Drosophila melanogaster: one gene and its partners. The protein of the gene in region 1 purifies or fractionates together with the protein of each later gene. This does not show direct contact. Each region holds a gene or a part of one and is shown in the gene's direction. Other genes may lie near its edges.

What was found.
Region 2: the proteins of AGO1 (region 1) and TER94 purify together in Drosophila melanogaster (affinity purification with western blotting; 2 studies listed by BioGRID). This does not show direct contact.
Region 3: the proteins of AGO1 (region 1) and RpL22 purify together in Drosophila melanogaster (affinity purification with western blotting; 2 studies listed by BioGRID). This does not show direct contact.
Region 4: the proteins of AGO1 (region 1) and Dcr-1 purify together in Drosophila melanogaster (affinity purification with western blotting; 5 studies listed by BioGRID, with this or other methods). This does not show direct contact.

Annotation. Positions count from the first base shown.
Region 1 is NT_033778.4:13,953,929-13,960,557, reverse strand, and holds the start of AGO1 (Argonaute-1), read left to right. Parts: upstream 1-2,468; 5' UTR 2,469-2,596; intron 2,597-3,207; 5' UTR 3,208-3,385; intron 3,386-4,877; exon of another isoform or gene 4,878-4,958; coding exon of another isoform or gene 4,959-5,141; exon of another isoform or gene 5,142-5,149; coding exon of another isoform or gene 5,150-5,343; intron 5,344-5,513; coding exon of another isoform or gene 5,514-5,641; intron 5,642-5,696; exon of another isoform or gene 5,697-5,708; 5' UTR 5,709-5,750; coding exon 5,751-5,871; exon of another isoform or gene 5,872-6,060; intron 6,061-6,112; coding exon of another isoform or gene 6,113-6,258; exon of another isoform or gene 6,259-6,363; intron 6,364-6,532; exon of another isoform or gene 6,533-6,629. Other genes in the region: Rpn13 (regulatory particle non-ATPase 13), read left to right, coding at 470-990, 1,160-1,913; CG33155 (uncharacterized protein), read right to left, coding at 4,959-5,141; mRpL53 (mitochondrial ribosomal protein L53), read right to left, coding at 5,150-5,343, 5,514-5,641, 6,113-6,258.
Region 2 is NT_033778.4:9,987,333-9,994,851, forward strand, and holds TER94 (transitional endoplasmic reticulum 94), read left to right. Parts: upstream 1-2,870; 5' UTR 2,871-2,965; coding exon 2,966-3,057; intron 3,058-3,138; coding exon 3,139-3,241; intron 3,242-3,327; coding exon 3,328-5,364; intron 5,365-5,430; coding exon 5,431-5,585; intron 5,586-5,651; coding exon 5,652-5,745; 3' UTR 5,746-6,227; downstream 6,228-7,519.
Region 3 is NC_004354.4:761,471-768,190, reverse strand, and holds RpL22 (ribosomal protein L22), read left to right. Parts: upstream 1-3,060; 5' UTR 3,061-3,095; coding exon 3,096-3,107; intron 3,108-3,268; coding exon 3,269-3,889; intron 3,890-4,104; exon of another isoform or gene 4,105-4,249; intron 4,250-4,380; exon of another isoform or gene 4,381-4,750; intron 4,751-4,956; exon of another isoform or gene 4,957-5,108; intron 5,109-5,199; coding exon 5,200-5,466; 3' UTR 5,467-5,631; downstream 5,632-6,720.
Region 4 is NT_033777.3:22,734,167-22,744,041, reverse strand, and holds the start of Dcr-1 (Dicer-1), read left to right. Parts: upstream 1-2,950; 5' UTR 2,951-3,011; coding exon 3,012-5,645; intron 5,646-5,697; coding exon 5,698-7,306; intron 7,307-7,363; coding exon 7,364-9,459; intron 9,460-9,522; coding exon 9,523-9,875. Other genes in the region: vret (vreteno), read left to right, coding at 1-184, 247-431, 488-681, 736-893; CG6985 (uncharacterized protein), read right to left, coding at 1,045-1,116, 1,175-1,228, 1,288-1,887, 1,946-2,725. UniProt on the Drosophila melanogaster protein: Endoribonuclease which functions in microRNA- (miRNA) gene silencing and, independently of its ribonuclease III activity, also acts in the short interfering RNA- (siRNA) gene silencing pathway.

The DNA of each region.
Region 1 (6,629 bases):
ATCGAAATAATTGGTCAGCCTAAATATATGCAAGAGCTTTTTAGTTTATGTTTATTTAATAATGAGTGTTAAATAACTAAAAACTATACCTCTCTTGTTACTTTTGCAATCGAAAGATTTCTAAGTCACTCAACGAACTCAATTTAAATTATACAACAAATGTCTAAACTGAATTTTGTTCAACAGTGTTTTGAAATACTAAATGTTAGAATTCACCCGTTGATGGTAACACTGCTGAGGTAAGAAGAAGACAAATTTTGCTCGTCATTGGGAATTGACGATTCACTGAATTTTTGATAAACTCAACAAAGTAAACGCATTATATATCCCGTAAGTAGTGCAGCGACTACTAATAACCCCAAACCGATCACGGCACCATAAAACACTTTCGAGTTATGCGCCAAAGAAAGTCGTAATTACAATACGTTCTTCATCCAATCTTCGCCAGCTCTCAAGAAGCACCCGCATCATGTTTGGAAGACAAAGTGGACTGGGTAGTTCCAGCAACAGCAGCAACCTGGTGGAGTTCCGCGCAGGTCGCATGAACATGGTGGGCAAGATGGTGCATCCGGATCCGCGCAAGGGCCTGGTCTACATGACCCAGAGTGACGATGGCCTGATGCACTTCTGCTGGAAGGATCGCACCTCCGGCAAGGTGGAGGACGATCTCATCGTCTTCCCCGATGACTTCGAGTACAAGCGCGTCGATCAGTGCAAGACGGGCCGTGTCTATGTGCTTAAGTTCAAGTCATCGACACGCCGCATGTTCTTCTGGATGCAGGAGCCCAAGACGGACAAGGACGACGAGCAGTGCCGCCGCATCAACGAGCTGCTGAACAACCCTCCATCCGCCCACCAGCGCGGCGGCGGCGGCAGCAACGACGGCGACCTCCAGTACATGCTCAACAACATGTCGCAGCAGCAGCTGATGCAGCTCTTCGGCGGCGTTGGCCAGATGGGTGGTCTCAGCTCGCTGCTGGGCCAAATGAAGTGAGCATTTAAACCCTTGCAGCCATAGTGTCCAAGAACTAGTCAAGTAGATAGCTTCTTAACTTACAGGGTATCGTTTTTATTGTTTATAAGCATGTAATCGAAGGAATGAAGCCAGAACTTGAGTTCACCCCCTTTTTCAATATTTTCCTTTCTATATTCTCCGCAGCTCCCGGACGCCCTCGTCGCGCAACACCTCCTCATCGGGTGGCGGTGGGGCATCGGCCTTGCAGACGCCCGAAAACGTCAGTGTGCCGCGCACTCCGAGCGCTCCATCGAAATCGGGCAGCAGCCGCAGCAGCAGCAATGTGAACTCGCAGGTCGGCGAAGGTGCCGGCTCCTCCGTTGATGCGGATGCCCCCGGTAAGAACTCAACCACATCGACCACAACGGCGTCAAAATCGACCGGAGCCTATGCCAATCCATTCCAAGCCTACTTATCCAATCTCTCCCCCGAACATGGCGCAGGACGATCCCTGAATATTGACCTATCGACGGCCCTACCCGGCGCCGATGCCATCAATCAGATAATTGCCGATCCGGAGCATGTCAAGACGCTGATCGTGCACCTGCCCGAGTCGGAGGATGTGGACGATGATCGCAAGCAGCAGATCAAGGACAATATCACCTCCCCGCAGTTCCAGCAGGCTCTGGCCCAGTTCTCCAGTGCCCTGCAATCGGCCCAGCTGGGACCTGTGATCAAGCAATTCGAGTTGTCCAACGAAGCAGTGGCCGCCGCCTTCTCTGGCAATCTAGAGGATTTTGTGCGTGCTCTGGAGAAGAGTCTGCCCCCCGGTGCCACCATGGGTGGCAAACCCTCCGCCAGCGAGAAGAAGGCCAGCGATCCCGAAACCCCAACTTCAGTGGCCCGCGATGAGAACACAGATCCCGCTACCGAAAAACAGGAGGAGAAGCAAAAGTAGCTTACGTGTGCGGCTTGGTAGTCATTGATATGGAATCCGAAAGCAAATTTTTTCATGTGCTGAGTGATTTTTGGATGCTAAATAAATTCAAATGGGAGTTAATCGGTAGTTATCTATCTAATTGTGTGTTTGATATACATCAAAACGGCTTATTAATTTATATTTAAAATATTACTACTTTAATAAAAGGATACGCGTTTTGGTAAGTACTCGTCCAGCTCTTTTCAGAATGCATCATTATACTCATTATACTTGGGTTTTTGGCTTACCTAATTTAATTTAAAAAAACAAAGTCTAACGTGTACAATTTATTTTAAATTTTGAAGTTAATAATGGGGGGATATATGGAAGTAACGGTAATATTAATCCCGACAAGGTCATTTTGTTGGTGTCCCCCTAACAAAAGCTCGCTGCCCCGCTCTCTCATCGCAACACACTGGTCGTCCCTTTCTGGCGCGAATTGCGCGCTCTCTCAGCGAGAGCCGTCTCACACAGATATATACACACACAGGCACACGCAACAATATTTATTTTATTCAATTCCAAAACGGCCAGCAAATAAGTTGTGTTTGTGCAAAACTCGCGCGTTCGCAATTTTCCGAAGCTGACTCTCAATTCTCATACATAACGATCTCAAGCGATCTCCGCCAGGCGAATCAAACCCGGATATATCCAGATCTGCAGTAATTGCCATATTTTTTCGCCAATTTTTGCGTTGCGGGCTGGATGTTTTTGTATCTGTTGTTGTTGGTGCTTTCATTTTGCAGCAATCTCTGTGCCTGTGTGTGTTTGTGTGTTGGTGCTTTTGGCGGACGTGAGAAGGTGTGTGTGTCTAGTGGCAGCCTGTATGTTTTTTTTTTGCATGACTGCTTCGCGGAGCTGTGGGGAAAGCTTTTCCCTCCAAAGTAGTTGTCATAAAAAAGTTAAAAGCCGCGGCAAAAACAAAAATCAAAGCAAACACAGAAAGCGCGAAGAGAGAGGGCAGTGAGACAGAGAGAGAGAGAGTCGAGTGCCTAACGCACACCGACAACCTTTGACTCACACGCACACACACGCGCGCTGTTAAACAGGCCTGGAAGCTTGCAAAAAATAAAACTAAATAAAATAGGAGCTGCTTAAGAGTGTGTGTTGTCAAATAGCAAAGTAAACAAAAAGCTCCCCGGACTCGCAATTTCATGCATATCTCCGGCGCAACGATCTGGCAACACTAACAACAACAGCAGCCGCACAAACTGCGTTTTAACCAATTCCATTTCCATTTCCTGCACTTATCTTTCTCGTTTCTTCCAATTAGCGCTGGAAAAGTAACGTCCGCAACGGTTTAAATCCAGTCGAGACGCAAACCCCACTCAACTCCTTAATGAGTTCCCCTCCATTAAACGGAATTCACCAAAAAAAACGATTGATTTGCCGCTGATAAAGCTGATAAAAGCGCACACACACACCAAAGTCAGCTGCAATTTTGCGATAAGGTAAGTACAAAATTATGAATCTTTCAATTTGCCGGCAAATGGAGGCTTCCAGAACAGCTGCAGGAGCTGCAAGTAAAATGGAAGTGCCCCAAAATAAAAAAAAAAAAAAAACAAAAATACAGGAAACCAAAACACTAATGGCGCCTGAGCATATGCTTTGGGAAATTTTCAAGAGCGCCAAGCGTGTGAGCGCGGGGGTGCGAGAGGGACGACCGTACAGACAGTGTTTATGTTTTGGTAGAAAGGTCACATCCTTAGCTTCCAATAGAACTTTCGTTCGTTAATATCCCCGCCATCCACGTCCCTCGCGAATTACGTCACGAATCGACGAAGAAGTTCGTGTCGACAGGTTTACATGCTCTTGAACTTTTAACAAACTAATAATACCCTTTTATACAGTTATTGCGATAGGATTATATGATCCAATCCTAAACCGATTAAAATCTTATCAAAACATTGGGGAGTTAAAATTTATATGAGTTACTAACTTATAACAAAAACCAGTAATTTAAAACCAATTTGTAAGGACTTATGCTATAATTAAACAAAGCTTTTTAACGTTTCTAGCGACATATTAAAAAAAGGTTTTATAAGTATAAAAAACTTATCGGTTTCAAAAACTTAAATTTGCTATGTTATTAATGCGCAAGCTCCAATTTGCAATCTTATGATCGAAGCTATAATACCTCGTTCGCAACTTCAAAATTTAAAAGTGGGTGGTGAAAGTTTTTACGACGTGACTCCTTCAAAACGGCTGGCGAACAGGCGGGGAGAAAGCTTGCAGCCTGACATTGAACTTGGGGGCACTCTGAACAGAATTCTATTAATCACAGGGTGCCGCAGCTTTTTGGGGCAACTTTCACCAACCATTTTTGCAGCTGCCACACTCCAACAGATTGTTGCCAGTTGCAGCCATCGATTTCGTCGCAAATACGTACATATTCACACATTTAGAGCGCGCCATTTCAAAACTTTAGCTCAAAGCTTGAACTGCACAGTGCACTTTCTTCCTTGCTCCCCCATTAGAATAAGACTTCAATTCATCTCAACAGCTGTCTTGGCAACAGAGAAGCTTTCTCCACTGCCTGTTGCATCCTTGTTGTCATTACAAGAATGCAGATGATCATTCACTTGGAGCAGTAACAAATTAATGCCACAATTCATGAACAAGTCTGTAGTGGTCCACCCCAGCCACGTCCACCGTCCACTTTGCATGGCCCATTTGGTCGACTTCCTGCGGTCCAATTACCATTGGCTCCTCCCGCCCCATTGTGATTATAAGCTTTGGGACGGCAGGCGGCTCTCCGATCCGCTGACATCAGCAAGCGCAGCAAACAGCAGCCGCTGCAGCAGCAGCAGGAGCAGATGATTTTCCGGTTTGCCAGGGACCGAAAAACTGGTTTCGAATGGCGAAAAAAAAATGAAACAAACGACAGGCTGACCGAATCGAATCGAGCGCTGCCCTTTTGCACAGTCGGGCCAAAAAGACAATACAGTGCGGAGTGTTTGTTACATGTTAGAGCGTATATATATTTTGAAAAGTACGTGTGCGGAATTGAACAATACAATTGGCTTAGAAATCGACGGGCTTGATGGTGATGAACCGGGAGAGAATGAAGGCCACCAGAATGGTGGCGCACACGAAACAGAAGGCGAACATGTAGAAGCTCTCCTCGGTGAAGATGTCGGAGAATGCGGGTATATCCTGGTAGATCTTCTCGATCACCGCCAGTGTTCCTTTGTGCTTCCTCACCATCCTGATGGTTACTTCTTCTTGGTTGCCTTCTTTCCGCCGCCGGCGCCTCCTGCTAGTTTCTGTTTCTCCGCCTTGGTCAGGACCTTGTTGGTGATCTCCTCGCGCGGTGCCAAGCTGGACACGTGCTTGTTGCACAGCTGCAGCAGCTCTAGTGTGTTTAGGTTATCGCTGTTGAAGCGGATCTCCTTGACTTGGGCTTGTTCTGTGAATGATATAATATCAATAAGTGTTTGCTCTTTGAATGTTGCAGTTTCAAAAGGGTTAACTTAGTTGCCCACGCTAAAAGGAAACCAATTTTTCAATACATATTTCATATGTATTTTGGTTCCTTTTAGTTAGATATTTCAGCTGTCCCAGTTTAGGTATTCTTACCTTGCGCTGAATCAATCAGGGCAAACTTGATGTTGGCCGGCTGGCGATCGCAGACGATTTCTGGCTTGACCACGCACTTGGGATTCGTAGCTGCCACTTTGGGTGTGGAGAGCAGGAAGAGGAATTCCCTGAAATTAGAATTGAAATAGATATCTAGATTATTGATTTATCATCACGATTTACTTGATTTTTCAGGAGCAGCGACGCCGCCTCAAACTGACGCCGACACCGACTAAAATGTCCACGGAGCGTGAGCTGGCTCCCGGTGGGCCAGCTCAGCTCCATCCGCACACGCTGCCGCTGACTTTTCCGGATCTCCAGATGACCTCCACCGTGGGCATCATTGGGAAAGTCTACGGTGAGTGTGGCACGCATTTATTTCATTCCCCAACCCCATCACCTTTTTAGCCCTCGAAGGATCGGTTTTTCTGGTGTGAATACTTCACTGCACCCTTTTTGGTTTTTCTCAGTTTCTTCTTAGTATGATTTTCTTTTTCCTTTCGGTTTCGTGAAAATTCTATCCAATTTGAGTGGTGAATAGGGGGTGTAGTGCGCATGTCCCGCTATCGATATCGGTGAAAAGCGCTTTTCCGACTCACCGTGTGGACTTGACATTTTCCGCGAATGGATCGAACTGCACGGTTATCCGCTTGACGCCCTTCAAATTCACGCTCTTCAGCTGCTTGCCAATGGCGGACACAATGCCGCCGGAACGCCGCAATGCGCCACTGAAAGGCACAGACATTATTTATGTTTTTTTCACGGCGGCAATGAAAACTCTGCGGTTTTTCCGCACAAAATTTACGACGTAACAAACACGCTACGTAACAGCTGAGCGACGATAGCGATAACGGGCCCACTCACGATGACCGCCGATGGTTGTACAACACTGGCATTAGCAACCCTGCCTCGCTATGCCCAGATGCTGCTTGTATAGTCATCTCGCTCACTCGCACGGCTGCGGGCGAGAGTGCTTTGCCCTCATTTAAGTGTGGTTAAGAGTGTACAGCATGCGTCACGCTCACACGTCGCGAGTACAATTTTTGTGTGGACGTCCAGTGTGTGGCTGCTGTGGGAAAAGCTGAAGAAAATTGCATTTTTTGCATAATGCGCGGC
Region 2 (7,519 bases), 4.0 Mb from region 1:
TATAAAACAGCGCAGATGTGACTCAGCTTCCATATCTAACTCTATATCTCATGCCGAAAATCTAGGGTGGGGAGCGGAGGGGCGGGGTGCGTGGGTGACTTGCCTGCCAGGGAAAGGGGGCGGGGGTTCAGCGGGTGATAAATGTGCGTGATTTGGAATGAATGCGCATCGATTAAAACCGCAGGGCAATCAATTTAGCGCCTTTTACGCCAAATTGGCTCGTACACAACCAATTAATGTCAGCGGGTGAACTGACACCATCGCCCACCACCGCATCCCCCTTTCCCCTGTTGGCCATCCACCCCCGAAAAACAATTACAACAACGAAGACAAGCAGAGGGACTGCTGCAGATTCCGCTCAATAAACCTCCAATAAAGCGAATCCAGCGTGAGGCGTCGACGTCTAATTGCTGTTAACTCGTCAACTAGGAGAACGCTCCATCCTCGCCGTTGTGCGGCTCCTTGGACGCCTGATTAAACGGATTGGAGATGCGAGGTGTACAGTCGAGCCTCCGTAAGGGCAACCAAAAGTAAAAAACATCGACTATTTGAAATACAAAGTTTTATATGTACATATAATTTATCAGGCTCCGGATGTAACTTAATTAAAACATTTCCTTTTCATAAAATATTGCTAGCTGATAGCTGCTCAAAAGAACAATAAAGGTAATAAATTATGTTTGCTTGCAAACAATTTTCAATCAAAAAAGTATGCGTTCCATCTTAGTTAATAATTAATTACCTGGATAAAGACTTTTGAAACATATCATAGCGTTTCTTTGCATATTCAATACTAACCAATTTTTTATAAATGGAGTTACACCGTTTGTCGTCTTGTCAAGTAGTATCTTCACAATAAGTATAATACAGAATCAAGATAGTAAAATAAAACAAAAAATCGTGTGAATAAATCAGAGCTAAAGACGTCGGACTGTACAGCAGAGTTTGGTGGAAAAGAGAGAAAAGCGAGGAGAGCGCTGTTTGCATCATACACCGCAATGAATGAGTGCCCCATAATTGTGACTTTGGGTCTGAGGCGGTTCCGCTGCCCTGCCCCCCGCTCTTCGCTGCTTCCTGCGCCGCGGAAGGCGACGGCCATCTTTATCAGCCACCCCGACTCCCCACTCCTCTTCATCGTCACCCTCATCGTCACAAAAACTGGTTTCCGCTCGCCACTTTCTTTTGCTCTCTGCGCAGGCGCTCTTCGAAGACAAGAGACTTGCAGGCGATTGGTTGAATTCGTTCTGCGTTTCTATGGAGTTTGCTCCCATTCTTTTGGGGGCAGCGACCACGCCCAATGACGCTGCTCTCCTCTCTGCCGACGTCGCTGTCACTCTCTTAAGTACTAAAAAATAAAACTGAAAGTAAAGCTAAATAAAACGCTGCCATAATTGGCATCGTTAATGCCAAAACCATGAATACTAAAAAGTTTTTACGAGCATAAGCTGCGATTGAGCAGTTATTGTAGGGACAGGTTGATGGCCGAGTGTTCTAGGGAAATGAATGAATGAAGATTTTTTCTTACTACCAAAACTTCTACAACTAAGTGAAATAGACGGATTGAGTTCTACATACTTCCTACATATATTTTAGATATAGACATAGCCGAAAAGTATGCTGCACTTTTTCAATAAAAACGTAAGCAGCTACGTTATCACGCATGGCTTCATAGCAGCGATCATCTGCCAGCGAGCATAGCCAAGTTAGGCACCTGCACACATTGCCACTCTTTCCTTTAGCGTTGCCACTTCAATTTCTTTTACAAACCATCGCAGCGTGTAATCGATATTTTCTAAGCCCAATCGATGAATGTCCGGTAACGCACATCACCAATCTGTTTCTGCTGCCTCATCTTTGAATTTGACTAAAAGTGCCGATTTCCAGCTCAACGAATAGTCCAAGTCGCGCCGAATTGTACAATTAAGTTAAAAAGTTCAACGTCAACTAGTTTATCATGGCAGATTCCAAGGGGTAAGTGAACTGGACGCCGAAATAGGCGCCGACTGTGTCGGTCCAAGTCGAAATTCACAAATTTCGCTCAGTCATTGAGCCGAAAAAAATACGCAAGGGCCACATCGCAGACATACTATTATTTAATTGTGAAAGGCTTTCGCCGATTTCCGCGAGACAAAGACATTTACCGCGACTTTTCCACTGCTCGGTTGCAAAATGTTGCGAAACTAGGGCAAACCTAAAAACCGAAGAAAAAAAAACGCCAGCGAGAATCGCCATTTGCAGTACGTTGTTGTTGTTGTTGGTGTTACTGCCCTTGCAGTTGTTGTTGCCGCTTGAAAACTTACGATTTCCCTTTGTTGTCCCAAAAATACAAGTCATCCTTTGCTGGAGGATACAATTTTCCGGTTGTTGTAGTTATAACTTTGGATACGAAAAACAATACTGCATACATATATGGCAGCTATTTCTATAATAAATCGCGAAAATCCTAAACTATATGCCGAAACCACTTATTTCAATGCTACCTATTAGTAATACCTTTTTTGATATTGCATTAATTCTAGAAAAGTCTTTGTGCTCCCTCAACTCGCCAGAAGTAAAAAAAAACATATCGTTTAAGTAACAATAAATGCATAATTTACCTCAAAGTTTAGAAATTATTATAACAAATGGCGCCAAAAAAGTTGGCATCGAATACAAGAAATACAAACATACTTTTATAACTAAAGACAATAAACAATTGTACTATTATTCCGATTAATATAGATTTTTATGAACGATATAGGGTGATAACCTTTTATGTTCAAAAATCTATCAATAAAGATTGATCGACATCATCACGTTAGCAACGAAAAATGATTCGGCAGGCCTAATTATCCAGATGCTTAGTTCCATTCCGTATTACTAGTGAAAGTAGTTTCCATAAATTTATCAAAACTAACAAAAAAGGCAATCCAAAAAAACAAAAAAAAAAACAAAAAAAACAATGTCTGGCGGCAAGAACGATAAGATGGATCATGATGGGGATACGAGGGACTTTATGCGGGGATATCACAGCGAGCAGGATGAGAAAATGAAGCCGAAAGACTCGTTCGATAAGCGGTTAGGCCAAATTATATATAAGACATAAGATATTTCTTTAGCGACGAGTCTTACGCGATGCTTTTTTCTTCTACCCTACAGTGAAGATCTGGCTACGGCGATCCTGAAGCGCAAGGACCGTCCCAACCGACTGATTGTGGAAGAGGCGCAGAATGACGACAACTCTGTGGTGTCGCTATCGCAGGTAAGATTCACTCTCCCAAAGGCCACGTCATCGCATGGCTAATTCACATGACTTGGCTGTTCTTTTTCCCCCTTAAACTATATCAGGCGAAGATGGATGAGCTGCAGCTCTTCCGTGGCGACACCGTGATTCTGAAGGGCAAGCGCCGAAAGGAGACGGTGTGCATCGTGCTCTCGGACGACACCTGTCCCGACGAGAAGATCCGCATGAACCGCGTGGTGCGCAACAACCTGTGCGTCCATCTTTCAGATGTGGTTTCCGTGCAGTCCTGCCCGGACGTCAAGTACGGCAAACGGGTGCGCATCCTGCCCATCGACGAAAGCACCGAAGGCGTTACCGGCAACCTGTTCGAGATCTATCTGAAGCCGTACTTCCTAGAGGCCTATCGGCCAATCCACATGGGCGACAACTTTATTGTGCGCGCCGCCATGCGTCCTATTGAGTTCAAGGTGGTGCTGACCGACCCGGAGCCCTACTGCATCGTAGCTCCCGAGACGGTAATCTTCTGCGACGGTGATCCAATTAAGCGCGAGGAGGAGGAGGAGTCCCTAAACGCCGTTGGCTACGATGATATCGGTGGTTGCCGCAAGCAGCTGGCCCAGATCAAGGAGATGGTTGAGTTGCCTTTGCGGCATCCATCGCTCTTCAAGGCCATTGGTGTGAAGCCACCGCGTGGTATTCTTATGTACGGTCCCCCGGGTACCGGTAAGACCCTGATTGCCAGGGCTGTGGCCAACGAGACCGGAGCCTTTTTCTTCCTGATTAACGGACCGGAGATCATGTCCAAACTGGCCGGAGAGTCGGAATCGAATCTGCGCAAGGCCTTCGAGGAAGCCGAGAAAAACTCGCCGGCTATCATCTTCATCGATGAGATCGACGCTATTGCCCCCAAGCGTGACAAGACCCACGGTGAGGTGGAGCGTCGCATTGTGTCGCAGCTTTTGACCCTGATGGATGGCATGAAGAAGAGCTCCCATCTGATCGTTATGGCTGCTACCAACAGGCCCAACTCCATTGACCCGGCCCTGCGTCGCTTTGGACGTTTTGATCGTGAGATTGACATCGGCATTCCAGATGCCACTGGACGGCTGGAGGTGCTGCGCATTCACACCAAGAACATGAAGCTGCATGATGATGTTGACCTGGAGCAGATTGCTGCCGAATCCCACGGACATGTGGGCGCTGATCTGGCTTCACTCTGCTCTGAGGCTGCCCTTCAGCAAATCCGTGAGAAGATGGACCTCATCGATTTGGAAGACGATAAGATCGATGCCGAGGTGCTGGCGTCGCTGGCCGTGACAATGGAGAACTTCCGCTACGCTATGACCAAGTCCAGTCCATCGGCGCTGCGTGAAACTGTTGTTGAGGTGCCCAACACCACCTGGACAGACATCGGAGGTCTGGAGAGCGTCAAGAAGGAATTGCAGGAGCTGGTGCAATACCCAGTGGAGCATCCGGACAAGTTCTTGAAGTTTGGCATGCAGCCCAGTCGCGGTGTCCTTTTCTACGGACCCCCTGGTTGCGGTAAGACGCTGCTGGCCAAGGCCATTGCCAACGAGTGCCAGGCGAACTTCATCTCAGTCAAGGGTCCCGAACTGCTGACCATGTGGTTCGGCGAGTCTGAGGCCAACGTGCGCGACATCTTCGATAAGGCCCGCTCGGCGGCTCCTTGTGTGCTCTTCTTCGACGAGCTGGACTCGATCGCCAAAGCCCGTGGCGGTAATGTCGGCGATGCTGGCGGCGCCGCTGATCGTGTGATCAATCAGATCCTTACCGAAATGGATGGCATGGGAGCCAAGAAGAATGTGTTCATCATCGGAGCCACCAATCGCCCGGACATTATCGATCCGGCCATCCTCCGTCCGGGCCGTCTGGATCAGTTGATCTATATTCCGCTGCCCGACGACAAATCGCGTGAGGCTATCCTGAAGGCTAACTTGCGCAAGTCGCCGCTGGCCAAGGAAGTAGACCTTACCTACATCGCCAAGGTGACGCAGGGCTTCTCTGGCGCCGATCTGACCGAGATCTGCCAGCGGGCTTGCAAGCTGGCCATCCGACAGGCCATCGAGGCTGAAATTCGTCGCGAGAAGGAGCGCGCCGAAAATCAGAACTCCGCGATGGACGTAAGTCATTTAGCTTAGCGCAAAAAATAAGAATGTTTATGTTTGACTATTTACCCATATAATCAGATGGACGAGGACGATCCAGTGCCGGAGATTACTAGCGCCCACTTCGAGGAGGCCATGAAGTTCGCTCGCCGTTCGGTGTCCGATAATGACATCAGGAAGTACGAGATGTTTGCCCAGACTTTGCAGCAGTCCCGTGGATTCGGACAGAACTTCAGGTGAGAATTGAAAGGCATTTCTTGTTGGAATCCAGGTTACTGATGATAGTGTATATGTTATTGCAGATTCCCCGGTCAAACCGGCAACACCTCAGGATCTGGTAACAACTTGCCAGTTAACTCGCCCGGCGACAACGGCGACGATGATCTTTACAGTTAGATTTCTAGTTTTACACCGCAAAACAAAACCACAAAATGGAACTTTTTAAATGAATTTTTTCCGTAAAACCGAGCAAGCAAAACCAATCACATTCGCATCCTGGACGCGGTAACTTACTACAGCAACCATTGGCTAAGACATCCAGCCGATGGCGAAATCAGATGACATACCCGATTCAATATTCACTTCTTTGATACCATCCTTACTCTTGGTCGCGGATACGTGCAGTAGGAGAAGGTTCCCATTTGGATTTGGGCTCGCCTAATCCGAAACCATTTTAATTGGCGAACTATTCCGCGCCTCACACTAATCATTCGTGCATTGTCGGTAGAGTGGCTCCGATATATGAGTTTCTATAAACATAATTATTAACGATACACATACACACATACATTTAAAGATAAATACATATATTAAACACCGTAAAATTATAAGTGTATTTGGAGCTACATTTTTAAGTGAATAAAAATTATAAATTCAACAAAATCATGTGCTTTAAATTGAAGAAATATTGAAAAATAGACGCAACGAGGTAATTGGGTGTTGAGATTAAAGAGCAAGAGTTACATAATCAATTATTTATTTTTGATAAGGTTCACTAGCAAAGTGGAACGTTGCTTTATTTTAACTGATCATTGGCCACAGTGCAATAAAATGCGTAATAAATTAAATTGGTCGGTACTCGTATGAGTGCAGTGAAAAAATATGTCTTCGTGCCTCGATTTCTGCAAGTCCAATTTAGTCATCAAGAGTACTAACCAAATCCATACTGTTCCCATTTGAAAATATCATTTCATTTGTTTTATCGCATTTATTAAACTTGTATTAATTCGTCATGTTTGCTTTTTCTGGTTTTCAATTGTTTTTTCACTTTTATTTTTATTAATTCTTTGCGACATAACAAGGACATCTTAATATGAAGTTAGTTGAATTCTTTCATATTTAAATAATCATTATCGCTTCGGTCTTATAAATAAACTTTCTTTGCCATTCTTTTAACCGCTCGTTAATTAAATCAATGTTTTGGCATCGGTAAATGATAATAAGGGAAATAATATTAATAATAATGTTAATGGCAAAAGCAGGAAACTTTGAATTTGATTGGCTTTTTAATGCGTTATTGCAGCTTCTTCGGCGCTTAATTTAAATGAAATGTGTGCTTCCTTTTCTCTCAGTGTCTACACCTTCAATTCTGCAAATATGCTTTTGTTTTGTTTAGTAATACATACTCTTTATTTGTTTTTCTTTTCTTTTCGTTTGTATTTGTTTTTCTCTTATATTTTTGTTACACATACATAATTAATACGCTTTATGCATAATTACAACACAACAGTTAAAATACGAATAGGCTTTACTATTTTTGTATTTAATGAACTCTTTCATCTGTGACTTTAATTTGAAGTTTGCGCATTTAGAGCTTGTCATCGGTGATTTCAACGATTTTTTAAATATTCTTTTATTTTTTTGAGCTTTGCTTGATGACAGTATTCAACATGGCTTGTGTGTGTGCGTGTGTGTTGTTGTATTGGGTGGAGTGTGTGTGCGTGTTGTGGTTGTTGGTTTGTGGAAGAAAATGGCCAGCACTTTCTGCACCTTAATTAATTTCTATAACTTTAATCGCTTGATATAATTGTTATTATTTATGTTTTTCTCGAACTCATCTCCTCGCGTTCTTTTTGTTTCGAAAATTTCCAAGAATTTGTTGCTTTAAAGTCTTGAACATAGACTAGACACCAATTAAGATTAAAAACATACTTTTATATACTTTAGTTGT
Region 3 (6,720 bases), on another chromosome or scaffold:
GCTCTGCTCGTCCCCCTTTTCGCTTCTCCCATACTGTTTGCCTTTGCTTTTGCCTTTCCTCTTGCGAATTGGACGCGCGTCAATATTTATTTTATTTATCTCCTTGCTCGCCCAGCTTGCGGGATACTCGAGGGAGGATGGGGGCCAGACACAAACAAATCGAAATATGGCCATGGAGGTACTGATTTCTTCCCGTGGATCAAAATACCAGGAGAAGGGGGGAATGGCGCCCGCCAGCAATTCATTCCGTCACCCAGCGGACTTCTCTCTGCCAACTCTTTCGTTCTTTCTTTGCAGAAGCCATACAAGTAATGCGATAATTACAATGCCAGGAATCATTCGTCAGTTGGCCACTCCGTGTGAATTACCGCGGCTCAGACTAAAGCAATCTAAAGTTACTCCCAGCACAAAGGGAGGGGAGAAGCCTGCAATGCGTACCAAGAGCGTTACATGGGATTATCCCCTGTCTCCTGTTACACCAGCCAAATAAATCTTCGGCTGGCGGGTACGTAAGCACCTGATTCCAAGCTCATTCAGACATTTGGCTAGGCTCCAGGGCGAAACATACAAACACCAAGGCATTCGCGAATCTCCTAATGGAATTAGGTCTCGTTTATATGCACAAATCGTTCAACAGGCCCAATCGAGGGAGCTGCAAGCCTGAATTTAGCCATGGGAGGTTCAGCCTCTATAGGAAGGAGCCCGCACAACAAAAACCCCAAAATTGGAGATTTAAAATAATCTAAAAGGTGGCACGACACAGTGACAAAGCCCTCGATCCGACCTCTGCGAGGGCTTGGCCTACAACAAACTGTTCGCGGCGGAGGGCGCTTAAGATATAATTTGCCATATCTTGGCGGAAGGAGGGGGAGATAGTCCCGCGCAGTGTCGGCGAAGATGTGAGCCGCGCCGGGTGCTAATAAAGTTGCCCGCCAAGAAATGAAGGGCTTTGGGGGAGCTCAATAGGCACTTCCCCCTGCGATTTTCTGCGGCCCGTCTAGGTGCTAATTTAGCGACCTCACAGAGATACAAATCCGCATGCGAACGCAAGGGGTTCCTCAGAATTTCCATTTTCAACCGAAGCGAACCGCAGATAAGGGATAAATGTCAAAATTATCTGCACACTCGCTCCCCACATTAACCCATGCCGTACGCACTATCGTGCAACTGACCAAACCCAAGGTGAAGGAAGGCAATCCTTAAGATCGCGGAAGAATCGTATTTCATTAGTTCATTTATTCGACATAATATTTCGCATTGTATGCTTGAGTTCCCATGGGTTAAACTTCGGGCATGGCCACTGAAGACTGCAGAGCGAGCGAGGATGGGCAGGCAGAGGAGCCGCAGACGAGAAGCAGAGCACATGGGACGGACAAAGTGCAAATATATGTTGTTAGACCACAAAGCCGGTCCCAAAGTCAAAAGCCGAAGGAGGCGGCCAGAAACACAGTAAAAATGGCAAAAAACGAAGAGCATTCCCTCGATATGCCAAAGTGCATCAGGCACTAAAATGCAGAAAATTGAAACGGGCTTTTAATGAAACGAAAGCGCCGCCAGAGATGAGATGCGCGCCTGGCTCGGATGACTGGCTATCTAGCTGGAAGCGGATATCTGGCTCAGACGTCCACTCAAATGGAGATGGAGGCAGCATGGGCAAGTGAGCGCTTACAGGCGAAATAAGACGAACACAAAGAGTCAATTAATTAGTAGATGGATTCACGATTGGCGCTGCATATATAGACACTGCGCTGCAGTCGAAGGTGCGGTTGGGATCACTGTGAAAAATACTTTCGGTTGTCTAGGCCTTTGGAATTCCCTTGCAACATGTTGCCCGCGTTCAGGTAGGAGACCGAAGATACAATCTGCACTTTCTCCCAGTGTCGAAACTATTGCCGAGAGTGGACCTTCTTTTACTCGAGATAAGAACGGGGATTGGGAATAGAAGCTGGGCGTTCATTAAATGATAAGCGAGCGACGGACGGGTCCGTGTGATAAGGCCTTCTGGCCCATCGGGATGGGCCAGGTAAGAAGACTCCATCTGCGACAACGGAGTGAAGTGCGCACAGAGATCAGGACTCTGGTGCCCAGCCAATCTGGGCAGTTAAAAAGCGGCAAACACGGGTCGGAAACAGAAGCGGCAGCGAAAAGTATGACTTGAATGCACGCAATCCCCAGGGCGCCACAAGGATCAAAATGAATTGTTAGTACGAAGTGGGGAATTCATGATTACTGGAAATAGAAATAGAAATAGAAATAGAATACTGGAAATTATGCGAAGCTGCTAGCCGAAAACGGGGCGTGGCGGAGGAACCGGATCGAGATTGGAAGTGGAAGAGGGAAGGGAAAGGGGCAACACGTGGAGCGGGCGCAGGAGGCAATCAATCGGTTTCCTTTTCGGCAGAATGCTCATTATCGCCAATTTGTGGGGGCAACCGCGGGGCGGTTGAAAAGCAGATCTGCACTGAGAACAATGCAATGTCGAACTCCGCAATTGTGATTTTATGCCGCGCAAATGGCGCTGTGATCAGGGTTCCAGCTAAAAATTAAATGCACGTCCCGCGGCTTCTTCTCCTCATCATCCTCTTTGTCTTCTCTTCATCGTTTTTGCTTTTTCGCTGCTTCTTCTCGTCTTGCTCCTCGCCATAGTTTTATGATATATGGTCACAGGGGCGGGCCAATCTCGTGGCACGTTCGGGGTGTTGGTAATTATAGGACTTTATGTCTGGAAGTTTCTTTATGATGGCTTTTACTTTCAAGCGCAATTCGAGGGACGTTAGCGTTGTTGCGGCATAGCAAGGCCTTGTTCGCATATTGACCATAGGTTTTAATATTCGCTGTACGAAAGGCTGTCTGAATAGTAAGAAAACATCATTTTTTTAAGCAGAGTATTCATTTTTTTGCTGAACGCTGGGAACATAACTGCGCATTGGATTGGAACACGGTTGCGGGATAGCGGAGTTCCCAACCCAGGGATGCAATTGCAGCGTGGCTTATCGGAATACGGCGTTGGCGCGCTGCGGCCACACCAACCGTCTCTTCTTCTTGCCGTCGCTTCCGCCTTCTGTTCTTTTTCCTCGTGGTTTTCGACTGACAAGATGGCTCCTACCGTAAGTGCTCCGAAATATGAGTTTCGCGACTGGCCACCGGCGCCCGGGAGCTCCAAGTTGTGTAACTCTGCAGCGGAAAGCCCTAGTCGGTGGCCAGCAGCGAAATATTCCATTTGTCGAATGTGCGTGTGATTTTTTTTGCTTTTTTTTTCGGTGAGCAGGCCAAGACCAACAAGGGTGATACCAAGACCGCTGCCGCTAAGCCAGCGGAGAAGAAGGCCGCTCCCGCAGCCGCCGCCGCCAAGGGCAAGGTGGAGAAGCCGAAGGCTGAGGCCGCCAAGCCCGCCGCCGCCGCGGCCAAGAACGTGAAGAAGGCGTCCGAGGCGGCCAAGGATGTAAAGGCAGCCGCCGCTGCTGCCAAGCCCGCGGCAGCCAAGCCCGCAGCTGCCAAGCCCGCCGCCGCTTCCAAGGATGCCGGAAAGAAGGCTCCCGCTGCCGCTGCTCCCAAGAAGGACGCCAAGGCTGCTGCTGCTCCGGCTCCCGCCAAGGCTGCTCCGGCCAAGAAGGCTGCCTCCACGCCTGCTGCCGCTCCCCCAGCAAAGAAGGCTGCTCCCGCCAAGGCCGCAGCCCCGGCTGCTGCTGCTCCCGCTCCGGCTGCAGCTGCTCCTGCTGTCGCCAAGCCCGCGCCTAAGCCGAAGGCAAAGGCTGCCCCAGCTCCCAGCAAGGTGGTCAAGAAGAACGTGCTGCGTGGCAAGGGACAGAAGAAGAAGAAGGTCTCGCTGCGCTTCACTATCGACTGCACCAACATTGCTGAGGATAGCATCATGGATGTGGCCGACTTCGTAAGTACATGGGGTACACAGATGATCACAAATCTCACCGCTCAGTACCAAGCACTGGTTACAATCTGTCGTTGCTTTCAAGATGTTATGGGGGATGTATTGCCCATTAGTATCTTTCACTGTCTATGGTAAAAGTAGTAGTGTGCCGTCTATAACTATAAATTGTTCTCCCAAAACATTTGAAAGCATTAACCAGATCGAAATCTGTATAGTCTTACCGCACCAAGCTTTCCACTGCCCTCCAAGTTAACCAGGGGCTCTGGATAAAAAGTTGTGGTTATAGTGAGTTCACTCCATTTTGCGATAAACTGCCAGCGGACTTTCCCGTGCCGCCGGCGGTTAACAACTTCTGGAACAACGCTAAATGTAGATGATAGTCATAGGAAGGGTAGGTAGGTGTCCGTTCCGTTTTAAACCAAGTCGAATCTTTCGCTGCCTCATGCGGGCACACGCGTTTCTTCCCAGCGCCTTCCAATCGCGCTTGTAGTCAAGGGGCTCTGGGCACTGCACAACGGGGTAGCCACTGACCGCCAGTGACCTGGCACTGGCCAGTGGTGCAACCGTCTGTGAACAGCGTCAAGCCGTGCTATGTGTACCGCCACGTGGTGGGCCCTGGGTTGAGTGCGACCACATCCGTGGCGCCTCAGGCCAAAATTCATAGTGCGCCCTGCTCACAGTGCCCGCTCTTCCGTGGCACTGCAGGTTTTCCCAACTTGTAGAAGTTAGAATTAGGTGCTTCTTCCATATGCCAAGTGATAAGCCAACTGACTAAGTACCCGCTAGTGGGCAAACCGAGTGCGCTAAACGCGCTTCTCAGCAGGGCGCTGAATAGTTCAAGTGTCGCCTACGTCACGGGATCAGGTAACTACAATCTTATGCTGCATTCACAAACGGGGAATGGAACCACTGGGGGAAAGGTACATAGTCGCATGCATGCGACTGAGTCATTTGACTGGAAACCCCCTTAAGAAGTTTCCTTTACTGGCACGCCGTCCGAAAAGTACCGCACCTATTGGTTCCATGGCCCCTTCATTGGTCATCTATCACCTAGATAAATCTATTTTACAGGCCACGCCGATTTGCCGTCAGAGAGTGAGCTTTATGCGTCGCTCTGATGGCAGTGTACTCAGTGGCAGAGCAAAAAATTGGTCACTCTTCTTTATTTGGGCTCTCTGTTCTACCCACTCGACTCTTAGCCTTAACAAAGAAAGAGACATTTAGCCCAGCTTACCGCTAGCAGGAGCTGCCCCAAAGATCCAGCCCAGTCCAAGCTGAACTAACCCGGAATACCCTCTCTATTCCGCCCGCAGGAGAAGTACATCAAGGCCCGCCTTAAGGTCAACGGCAAGGTGAACAACCTGGGCAACAACGTCACCTTCGAGCGCTCCAAGCTGAAGCTCATTGTCAGCTCCGACGTTCACTTTTCCAAGGCATACCTCAAGTACTTGACCAAGAAGTACCTGAAGAAGAACAGTCTGCGCGACTGGATCCGTGTGGTGGCCAACGAAAAGGACTCGTACGAGCTGCGCTACTTCAGAATCAGCTCCAACGACGATGAGGACGACGATGCCGAGTAAAGATGTAGCTGATCCCTTCAGTGGAATCACTAGGTTTACATTGGTTTTTATTATACATTTCACGCCCTCAAGCGGCGTGTTTTTATAAGCTAACAGAAAGATGTGAACTCATGAAAAAAAGAAAACTTCGGGCTAGCCTCAATAAAACAATTGTGTGTGAACCTTACGACCCCCAAGTCATTTTTATTGTTAGTACAAATCTATCTGGGAGAAAAGACCTATTCAATTTATTTCGCTTGAGAAGATGCGGCTATAATCATTGAAAACGATTTGCCTTCAAAGACATTTGGTTGTGGGCATGTACTTTATATATTTAGACATTTATCCAATCCAACAAATCCGATATCCCCGTCTCGCTTTTTTCCGTGATCGGTTGGTGCTCTTTGTTGAAAGAGTGATGAATACTATTGAATACTATGTGCATAATTTAATTGTTTATATTATCTGGTCATCCACATAATGAACACTACTTGAAACTTAGAAAGACGGAAAGTAGATTTATATAAAGCCAGTCAGTTGGATTGCATCCAATCGAATAATTAAGATGTATGGGGGGTGCTCTTGTCAGCTGTCTACTTTCAGGGCATCCGAGAGTTTACAGATTTAACTAGCTGCAAATCGCAGTACGTTAGTCCGTCTGTGGTTACGAAAGCAGGGGGTCTAGAATAGTCCGGACCACTGGTGTGCTCATCGTTATGCAAGCGGACCATTAACTAGTCAGCTTCCCATTTCGTTTAGGCGTGTGCATCGTGGGCACCGGCCATGTGAAATGAAACTCATACGTGGCGGGTGTTGTAGGTGTAGGCGAAAGCTTTTATTTTATTCAACAATTGAAGAGTGCAACAAATACGTTTGCTCACAGCAATACAAAAACAAGCAACAATTACGCTAACAAGTCTAGAAAAATACACACTTTTAGTGGGAACTTACATTCAGGTTGTCTTTCTTCAGAAGGCTTTTGAGTTGGGTTTGCACATAGGGCTATATAAATGTATATATATATATATATATGTATGTATGTAGTTGCAGAGATATTCGAGCGTTTGCTTTGATTTCGAGCACACTGGGATGGGTCCGGGCCCGGTTACGGTTACGGGGCCCATGCACACCGCAACAATCACAATTGAAGGCCAAATTGGAAAAGGGGGCTTTTTGACTGGGAAGCCAGCTTGTTTATCCACAAATACTGTAGTCGGAGATGGTACGGCATAATTCAAGAGTTTTTGTCCAATTAGCGCCTGGAATTATCGATGT
Region 4 (9,875 bases), on another chromosome or scaffold:
GTACGAACTCGACCAGTCCCTAGTTTTTAATATCAAGTACTCGTCACGTGAGTACGATACCAGCAAGGGCATGCAGGTCGTGGTGATGACCGAGATCGATATTAATAGGAGCCTCAACCGCCTTTTCAAGACCATCCTAACTCCTGTTGAGCCGTCTGTCTCGGACTTGGGATACAAAGAGGACGTAAGCCAGAACTTAAAAAAACATCAAGTACACAGTTGTCATTTGCATTTATTCGGTTTCAGTGTCTTCCATACATTCCCTTGCACTGCGGAAAGAACATAAATGTAGTGGTAATGGACAACACATTCATCCAGTGCGGCTTTATCTACTGCACCTCCATAGATCTGGCTTACGAAGTCACCAAAATGCAGCGAGACATACAGGAGTATGGTGAAAAGATTGCCAAGTGCGCAACCTACGCACCGCCGTAAAGTTACTCGCCGTTTTCTTTTGTCCATTTAACTAAAGCGCTCTTTCATTTAGGATAAATGAGCTTTGCATAGCTAAGTACGAAGGCAAATGGCGTCGAGGTCTCTCTGTGGAGTTAGTAGGAGATGGTTATCCCAGCATTTTGTTCATTGACTACGGAAACATAGTGCCAACACATGTCACCGACATACGTCCCTATCCGCCGCAGTTTATCTTCCCTATAATGACCACACAGTTGGATTTAATTGGTAATTAGGCTCTCCAAAGATAATTATATTATTTATATGACTCGATTTTCGTAGGAGTGCCTGAGAAGCCCACCGATGAGCAGATCAAATGGCTGGATAAAAATTATCCCATTGGGTCCGTTATCACCTGCAGCGAAATCACTTTCGACGAGGAAACAAATAGCTACTCCACTCGCATTGAAAAACTGCAGGAGTTCTTAAGTTTGGACTAAGTTCTCAAAAGGTTGATTCCGCGAAATAGTTCAGAACTAATTATGGCCAAAAAAAAGCACAAATCTTCCAGGTTAACTCAACTGCTAAGCATTTAGTTCAACAAAATAATTTTGTTTACATTTATATTCTTGAAGTTAACGTTTTGTTTGTTTAAGTTTTTACTCTCACTTTTCTTGAATAAACCAGTTGAATACAATCCAGACTATCCGATATAGCAGTTTCCTGTAAGGTCACATTGATTTACGCAATTTAAGTTAGTAAAATGTAATACAAATCTCACCTCAAAGAAAACACGGTCAAAAGGTGGCTCACTTTTGGTCCAGTCCGCTAGATTCTATAGGTTATCAATGCAATAGGTGATTTATTAATATGATAAGAATTCGAAGTACTCACATTAGATGCGGTCGGTATAAGCTGGCTGCGGCAATTCTGAAGATCTTCTATAGAATCATCACCCATATGCCCATAGAACTGCAACTCCTCCGGAGAACCTCCGGCTGTGATGAGAGTATATATTTTGGTATCCATTGCTCCAACGGCCAGCAGTTGGTTGGCTTGCTGCCTGGAATTGTGATTATAAATAATTAGGTGTTTGCAGCGAAGAGCTCGAAGCGCCGACAAGTCACTGGTCAAAATCAAGCCAATCATTGGTTCTCCATCGGCAAGAGAATTAAATAAGTTCACTTTTTGGGGACCATCTAGCTGCGCATGGTCCAAACTATAACTCTGACAGTATCCCCTGACCAGGGTGAGGCAATCCTCACTGTTTGCCAAGATGCAGCACTTCTCGCCTCGCTCCGCCACTAAGTGATCCAGCATTACGTGTAGAAACTCGAACTTGGCGGAGTCGTAAAGTCCCATGCTTGGCCAAGGCGGCAGTATGGCGTCCAGTACCTCCATTATTTCCTTAAACACTGGATTCGTACCCAAAGTTTTTAGGAGCACAGGATGATCACATACAATTTGGAAGATTTCCTTCAACGTAGACGATTCCTGAAATACAAGTTTTTTGATTTGTTTATGCATGTAAATTGGTCTAAATCTATCTTACTGTTTTAGATGTTTGTGCATATTCAGAAACAAAGAGTAATATTTTTTTCTGCAGTTCAGCTGGAGTTAATAGACACAGATATTCCGATTGGGTGAACTCCTTGGTAGGGTTTTCTATCTTCAAAGTGTTTTGTTCATAGATTTTCTTTCCCATCGAAGTGCTGGAATCGGCGGCTGCATAGGAGACATGTTTATCTTCTCTATGTTGGCTAATTTCCAAATGCGGTGGAGCAAAGGCATCTGCCTCGCGCTTGATCTTCTTGAGCAGATGAGACCTAACGGGTGCACTGTCAGCAGGTGGTGGCGATGTGTCTGTACAACCATTCTGGGCATCTATTTTTTGGCACCAGTTGGCTATTTCCAACTGGCGCTGAATAAGGCACTCCTCGACGGTTTTAATCTCCTCCTGAATCTCGACATCCTTGCTGCCTACTTCCAGCTGATCGTTCTCCTGAAGTTGCCGCTGCTTAAAGTATGTCATGGTGTCCACAACCTTGCCGGTGTCATCCTTCAATGTTACTATGGATCCCGTGACCACCAGCGTTCCGTTGCCAGTCCACGTTTTGTGCTTTTTGGTGGTCTGATTACGCCAGAGCACATGGAAGATGCGGCTATCTTTGAGGGGATTCTCGCCCGCCCTGAATTCTCGAGGTCCCAGGCTTTGGGTGCCCCCTGAGGTGCCCCATTCGCTGGGTAGATTGTTTTTGGGCCAGGAGCAGGGTGACTGTGGTTCCTCTTTGGGAGGCGCCGCTTCGCTCTCTCGCTTTGCAGCGCGGCGCATGGAAGGAGCTTTGGAACGCCGCTTTATGGTGCTAAAGAAGAGGATTACCGGGTATAGTTCACCGTAAATACATAAGTTAATTTAAAAACTTTTGCTATCAACAAAATATAAATATACAAGGCGCAATCTATTTTCAAGCCACTTGTAAGTGTGGCCAATGAAGTGAACCTCGAAAGGTATTCCGAACCCTGGTCACACTGGCATTCTGCTGGTAGCCGGCTCTGGATGATTTTCTGATAGAAATCTCGCAGAGGCAGTGGTGTTTTTGTGAATCCCCTCAGCCACGATGGCGTTCCACTGGTGCGACAACAATCTGCACACCACCGTGTTCACGCCGCGCGACTTTCAGGTGGAGCTACTGGCCACCGCCTACGAGCGGAACACGATTATTTGCCTGGGCCATCGAAGTTCCAAGGAGTTTATAGCCCTCAAGCTGCTCCAGGAGCTGTCGCGTCGAGCACGCCGACATGGTCGTGTCAGTGTCTATCTCAGTTGCGAGGTTGGCACCAGCACGGAACCATGCTCCATCTACACGATGCTCACCCACTTGACTGACCTGCGGGTGTGGCAGGAGCAGCCGGATATGCAAATTCCCTTTGATCATTGCTGGACGGACTATCACGTTTCCATCCTACGGCCAGAGGGATTTCTTTATCTGCTCGAAACTCGCGAGCTGCTGCTGAGCAGCGTCGAACTGATCGTGCTGGAAGATTGTCATGACAGCGCCGTTTATCAGAGGATAAGGCCTCTGTTCGAGAATCACATTATGCCAGCGCCACCGGCGGACAGGCCACGGATTCTCGGACTCGCTGGACCGCTGCACAGCGCCGGATGTGAGCTGCAGCAACTGAGCGCCATGCTGGCCACCCTGGAGCAGAGTGTGCTTTGCCAGATCGAGACGGCCAGTGATATTGTCACCGTGTTGCGTTACTGTTCCCGACCGCACGAATACATCGTACAGTGCGCCCCCTTCGAGATGGACGAACTGTCCCTGGTGCTTGCCGATGTGCTCAACACACACAAGTCCTTTTTATTGGACCACCGCTACGATCCCTACGAAATCTACGGCACAGACCAGTTTATGGACGAACTGAAAGACATACCCGATCCCAAGGTGGACCCCCTGAACGTCATCAACTCACTACTGGTCGTGCTGCACGAGATGGGTCCTTGGTGCACGCAGCGGGCTGCACATCACTTTTACCAATGCAATGAGAAGTTAAAGGTGAAGACGCCGCACGAACGTCACTACTTGCTGTACTGCCTAGTGAGCACGGCCCTTATCCAACTGTACTCCCTCTGCGAACACGCATTCCATCGACATTTAGGAAGTGGCAGCGATTCACGCCAGACCATCGAACGCTATTCCAGCCCCAAGGTGCGACGTCTGTTGCAGACACTGAGGTGCTTCAAGCCGGAAGAGGTGCACACCCAAGCGGACGGACTGCGCAGAATGCGGCATCAGGTGGATCAGGCGGACTTCAATCGGTTATCTCATACGCTGGAAAGCAAGTGCCGAATGGTGGATCAAATGGACCAACCGCCGACGGAGACACGAGCCCTGGTGGCCACTCTTGAGCAGATTCTGCACACGACAGAGGACAGGCAGACGAACAGAAGCGCCGCTCGGGTGACTCCTACTCCTACTCCCGCTCATGCGAAGCCGAAACCTAGCTCTGGTGCCAACACTGCACAACCACGAACTCGTAGACGTGTGTACACCAGGCGCCACCACCGGGATCACAATGATGGCAGCGACACGCTCTGCGCACTGATTTACTGCAACCAGAACCACACGGCTCGCGTGCTCTTTGAGCTTCTAGCGGAGATTAGCAGACGTGATCCCGATCTCAAGTTCCTACGCTGCCAGTACACCACGGACCGGGTGGCAGATCCCACCACGGAGCCCAAAGAGGCTGAGTTGGAGCACCGGCGGCAGGAAGAGGTGCTAAAGCGCTTCCGCATGCATGACTGCAATGTCCTGATCGGTACTTCGGTGCTGGAAGAGGGCATCGATGTGCCCAAGTGCAATTTGGTTGTGCGCTGGGATCCGCCAACCACATATCGCAGTTACGTTCAGTGCAAAGGTCGAGCCCGTGCTGCTCCAGCCTATCATGTCATTCTCGTCGCTCCGAGTTATAAAAGCCCAACTGTGGGGTCAGTGCAGCTGACCGATCGGAGTCATCGGTATATTTGCGCGACTGGTGATACTACAGAGGCGGACAGCGACTCTGATGATTCAGCGATGCCAAACTCGTCCGGCTCGGATCCCTATACTTTTGGCACGGCACGCGGAACCGTGAAGATCCTCAACCCCGAAGTGTTCAGTAAACAACCACCGACAGCGTGCGACATTAAGCTGCAGGAGATCCAGGACGAATTGCCAGCCGCAGCGCAGCTGGATACGAGCAACTCCAGCGACGAAGCCGTCAGCATGAGTAACACGTCTCCAAGCGAGAGCAGTACAGAACAAAAATCCAGACGCTTCCAGTGCGAGCTGAGCTCTTTAACGGAGCCAGAAGACACAAGTGATACTACAGCCGAAATCGATACTGCTCATAGTTTAGCCAGCACCACGAAGGACTTGGTGCATCAAATGGCACAGTATCGCGAAATCGAGCAGATGCTGCTATCCAAGTGCGCCAACACAGAGCCGCCGGAGCAGGAGCAGAGTGAGGCGGAACGTTTTAGTGCCTGCCTGGCCGCATACCGACCCAAGCCGCACCTGCTAACAGGCGCCTCCGTGGATCTGGGTTCTGCTATAGCTTTGGTCAACAAGTACTGCGCCCGACTGCCAAGCGACACGTTCACCAAGTTGACGGCGTTGTGGCGCTGCACCCGAAACGAAAGGGCTGGAGTGACCCTGTTTCAGTACACACTCCGTCTGCCCATCAACTCGCCATTGAAGCATGACATTGTGGTAAGTACTTGTAATACGAATTATTTAAGATTTGTTAAATACTCTTCTTTAGGGTCTTCCGATGCCAACTCAAACATTGGCCCGCCGACTGGCTGCCTTGCAGGCTTGCGTGGAACTGCACAGGATCGGTGAGTTAGACGATCAGTTGCAGCCTATCGGCAAGGAGGGATTTCGTGCCCTGGAGCCGGACTGGGAGTGCTTTGAACTGGAGCCAGAGGACGAACAGATTGTGCAGCTAAGCGATGAACCACGTCCGGGAACAACGAAGCGTCGTCAGTACTATTACAAACGCATTGCATCCGAATTTTGCGATTGCCGTCCCGTTGCCGGAGCGCCATGCTATTTGTACTTTATCCAACTGACGCTCCAATGTCCGATTCCCGAAGAGCAAAACACGCGGGGACGCAAGATTTATCCGCCCGAAGATGCGCAGCAGGGATTCGGCATTCTAACCACCAAACGGATACCCAAGCTGAGTGCTTTCTCGATATTCACGCGTTCCGGTGAGGTGAAGGTTTCCCTGGAGTTAGCTAAGGAACGCGTGATTCTAACTAGCGAACAAATAGTCTGCATCAACGGATTTTTAAACTACACGTTCACCAATGTACTGCGTTTGCAAAAGTTTCTGATGCTCTTCGATCCGGACTCCACGGAAAATTGTGTATTCATTGTGCCCACCGTGAAGGCACCAGCTGGCGGCAAGCACATCGACTGGCAGTTTCTGGAGCTGATCCAAGCGAATGGAAATACAATGCCACGGGCAGTGCCCGATGAGGAGCGCCAGGCGCAGCCGTTTGATCCGCAACGCTTCCAGGATGCCGTCGTTATGCCGTGGTATCGCAACCAGGATCAACCGCAGTATTTCTATGTGGCGGAGATATGTCCACATCTATCCCCACTCAGCTGCTTCCCTGGTGACAACTACCGCACGTTCAAGCACTACTACCTCGTCAAGTATGGTCTGACCATACAGAATACCTCGCAGCCGCTATTGGACGTGGATCACACCAGTGCGCGGTTAAACTTCCTCACGCCACGATACGTTAATCGCAAGGGCGTTGCTCTGCCCACTAGTTCGGAGGAGACAAAGCGGGCAAAGCGCGAGAATCTCGAACAGAAGCAGATCCTTGTGCCAGAGCTCTGCACTGTGCATCCATTCCCCGCCTCCTTGTGGCGAACTGCCGTGTGCCTGCCCTGCATCCTGTACCGCATAAATGGTCTTCTATTGGCCGACGATATTCGGAAACAGGTTTCTGCGGATCTGGGGCTGGGAAGGCAACAGATCGAAGATGAGGATTTCGAGTGGCCCATGCTGGACTTTGGGTGGAGTCTATCGGAGGTGCTCAAGAAATCGCGGGAGTCCAAACAAAAGGAGTCCCTTAAGGATGATACTATTAATGGCAAAGACTTAGCTGATGTTGAAAAGAAACCGACTAGCGAGGAGACCCAACTAGATAAGGATTCAAAAGACGATAAGGTTGAGAAAAGTGCTATTGAACTAATCATTGAGGGAGAGGAGAAGCTGCAAGAGGCTGATGACTTCATTGAGATAGGCACTTGGTCAAACGATATGGCCGACGATATAGCTAGTTTTAACCAAGAAGACGACGACGAGGATGACGCCTTCCATCTCCCAGTTTTACCGGCAAACGTTAAGTTCTGTAAGTTATTTAAATCCCTTGCTAAGGATCAGAAATAATCCCTAATACATCTTACAGGTGATCAGCAAACGCGCTACGGTTCGCCCACATTTTGGGATGTGAGCAATGGCGAAAGCGGCTTCAAGGGTCCAAAGAGCAGTCAGAATAAGCAGGGTGGCAAGGGCAAAGCAAAGGGTCCGGCAAAGCCCACATTTAACTATTATGACTCGGACAATTCGCTGGGTTCCAGCTACGATGACGACGATAACGCAGGTCCGCTCAATTACATGCATCACAACTACAGTTCGGATGACGACGATGTGGCAGATGATATCGATGCGGGACGCATTGCGTTCACCTCCAAGAATGAAGCGGAGACTATTGAAACCGCACAGGAAGTGGAAAAGCGCCAGAAGCAGCTGTCCATCATCCAGGCGACCAATGCTAACGAGCGGCAGTATCAGCAGACAAAGAACCTGCTCATTGGATTCAATTTTAAGCATGAGGACCAGAAGGAACCTGCCACTATAAGATATGAAGAATCCATAGCTAAGCTCAAAACGGAAATAGAATCCGGCGGCATGTTGGTGCCGCACGACCAGCAGTTGGTTCTAAAAAGAAGTGATGCCGCTGAGGCTCAGGTTGCAAAGGTATCGATGATGGAGCTATTGAAGCAGCTGCTGCCGTATGTAAATGAAGATGTGCTGGCCAAAAAGCTGGGTGATAGGCGCGAGCTTCTGCTGTCGGATTTGGTAGAGCTAAATGCAGATTGGGTAGCGCGACATGAGCAGGAGACCTACAATGTAATGGGATGCGGAGATAGTTTTGACAACTATAACGATCATCATCGGCTGAACTTGGATGAAAAGCAACTGAAACTGCAATACGAACGAATTGAAATTGAGCCACCTACTTCCACGAAGGCCATAACCTCAGCCATATTACCAGCTGGCTTCAGTTTCGATCGACAACCGGATCTAGTGGGCCATCCAGGACCCAGTCCCAGCATCATTTTGCAAGCCCTCACAATGTCCAATGCTAACGATGGCATCAATCTGGAGCGACTGGAGACAATTGGAGATTCCTTTCTAAAGTATGCCATTACCACCTACTTGTACATCACCTACGAGAATGTGCACGAGGGAAAACTAAGTCACCTGCGCTCCAAGCAGGTTGCCAATCTCAATCTCTATCGTCTGGGCAGACGTAAGAGACTGGGTGAATATATGATAGCCACTAAATTCGAGCCGCACGACAATTGGCTGCCACCCTGCTACTACGTGCCAAAGGAGCTAGAGAAGGCGCTCATCGAGGCGAAGATCCCCACTCACCATTGGAAGCTGGCCGATCTGCTAGACATTAAGAACCTAAGCAGTGTGCAAATCTGCGAGATGGTTCGCGAAAAAGCCGATGCCCTGGGCTTGGAGCAGAATGGGGGTGCCCAAAATGGACAACTTGACGACTCCAATGATAGCTGCAATGATTTTAGCTGTTTTATTCCCTACAACCTTGTTTCGCAACACAGCATTCCGGATAAGTCTATTGCCGATTGCGTCGAAGCCCTCATTGGAGCCTATCTCATTGAGTGCGGACCCCGAGGGGCTTTACTCTTTATGGCCTGGCTGGGCGTGAGAGTGCTCCCTATCACAAGGCAGTTGGACGGGGGTAACCAGGAGCAACGAATACCCGGTAGCACAAAACCGAATGCCGAAAATGTGGTCACCGTTTACGGTGCATGGCCCACGCCGCGTAGTCCACTGCTGCACTTTGCTCCAAATGCTACGGAGGAGCTGGACCAGTTACTAAGCGGCTTTGAGGAGTTTGAGGAGAGTTTGGGATACAAGTTCCGGGATCGGTCGTACCTGTTGCAAGCCATGACACATGCCAGTTACACGCCCAATCGATTGACGGATTGCTATCAGCGTCTGGAGTTCCTGGGCGATGCTGTTCTAGATTACCTCATTACGCGGCATTTATACGAAGATCCCCGCCAGCATTCTCCAGGCGCATTAACGGATTTGCGGTCAGCACTGGTGAATAATACAATATTCGCCTCCCTGGCTGTTCGCCATGGCTTCCACAAGTTCTTCCGGCACCTCTCGCCGGGCCTTAACGATGTGATTGACCGTTTTGTGCGGATCCAGCAGGAGAATGGACACTGCATCAGTGAGGAGGTGTGTTAAAGGAAAGTCACCAATAATACGACAACTAATTGTAATATTCTTTCTTGCTTTCAGTACTACTTATTGTCCGAGGAGGAGTGCGATGACGCCGAGGACGTTGAGGTGCCCAAGGCATTGGGCGACGTTTTCGAGTCGATCGCAGGTGCCATTTTTCTCGACTCAAACATGTCGCTGGACGTGGTTTGGCACGTATATAGCAACATGATGAGCCCGGAGATCGAGCAGTTCAGCAACTCAGTGCCAAAATCGCCCATTCGGGAGCTCCTCGAGCTGGAGCCGGAAACCGCCAAGTTCGGCAAGCCCGAGAAGCTGGCGGATGGGCGACGGGTGCGCGTTACCGTGGATGTCTTCTGCAAAGGAACCTTCCGTGGCATCGGACGCAACTATCGCATTGCCAAGTGCACGGC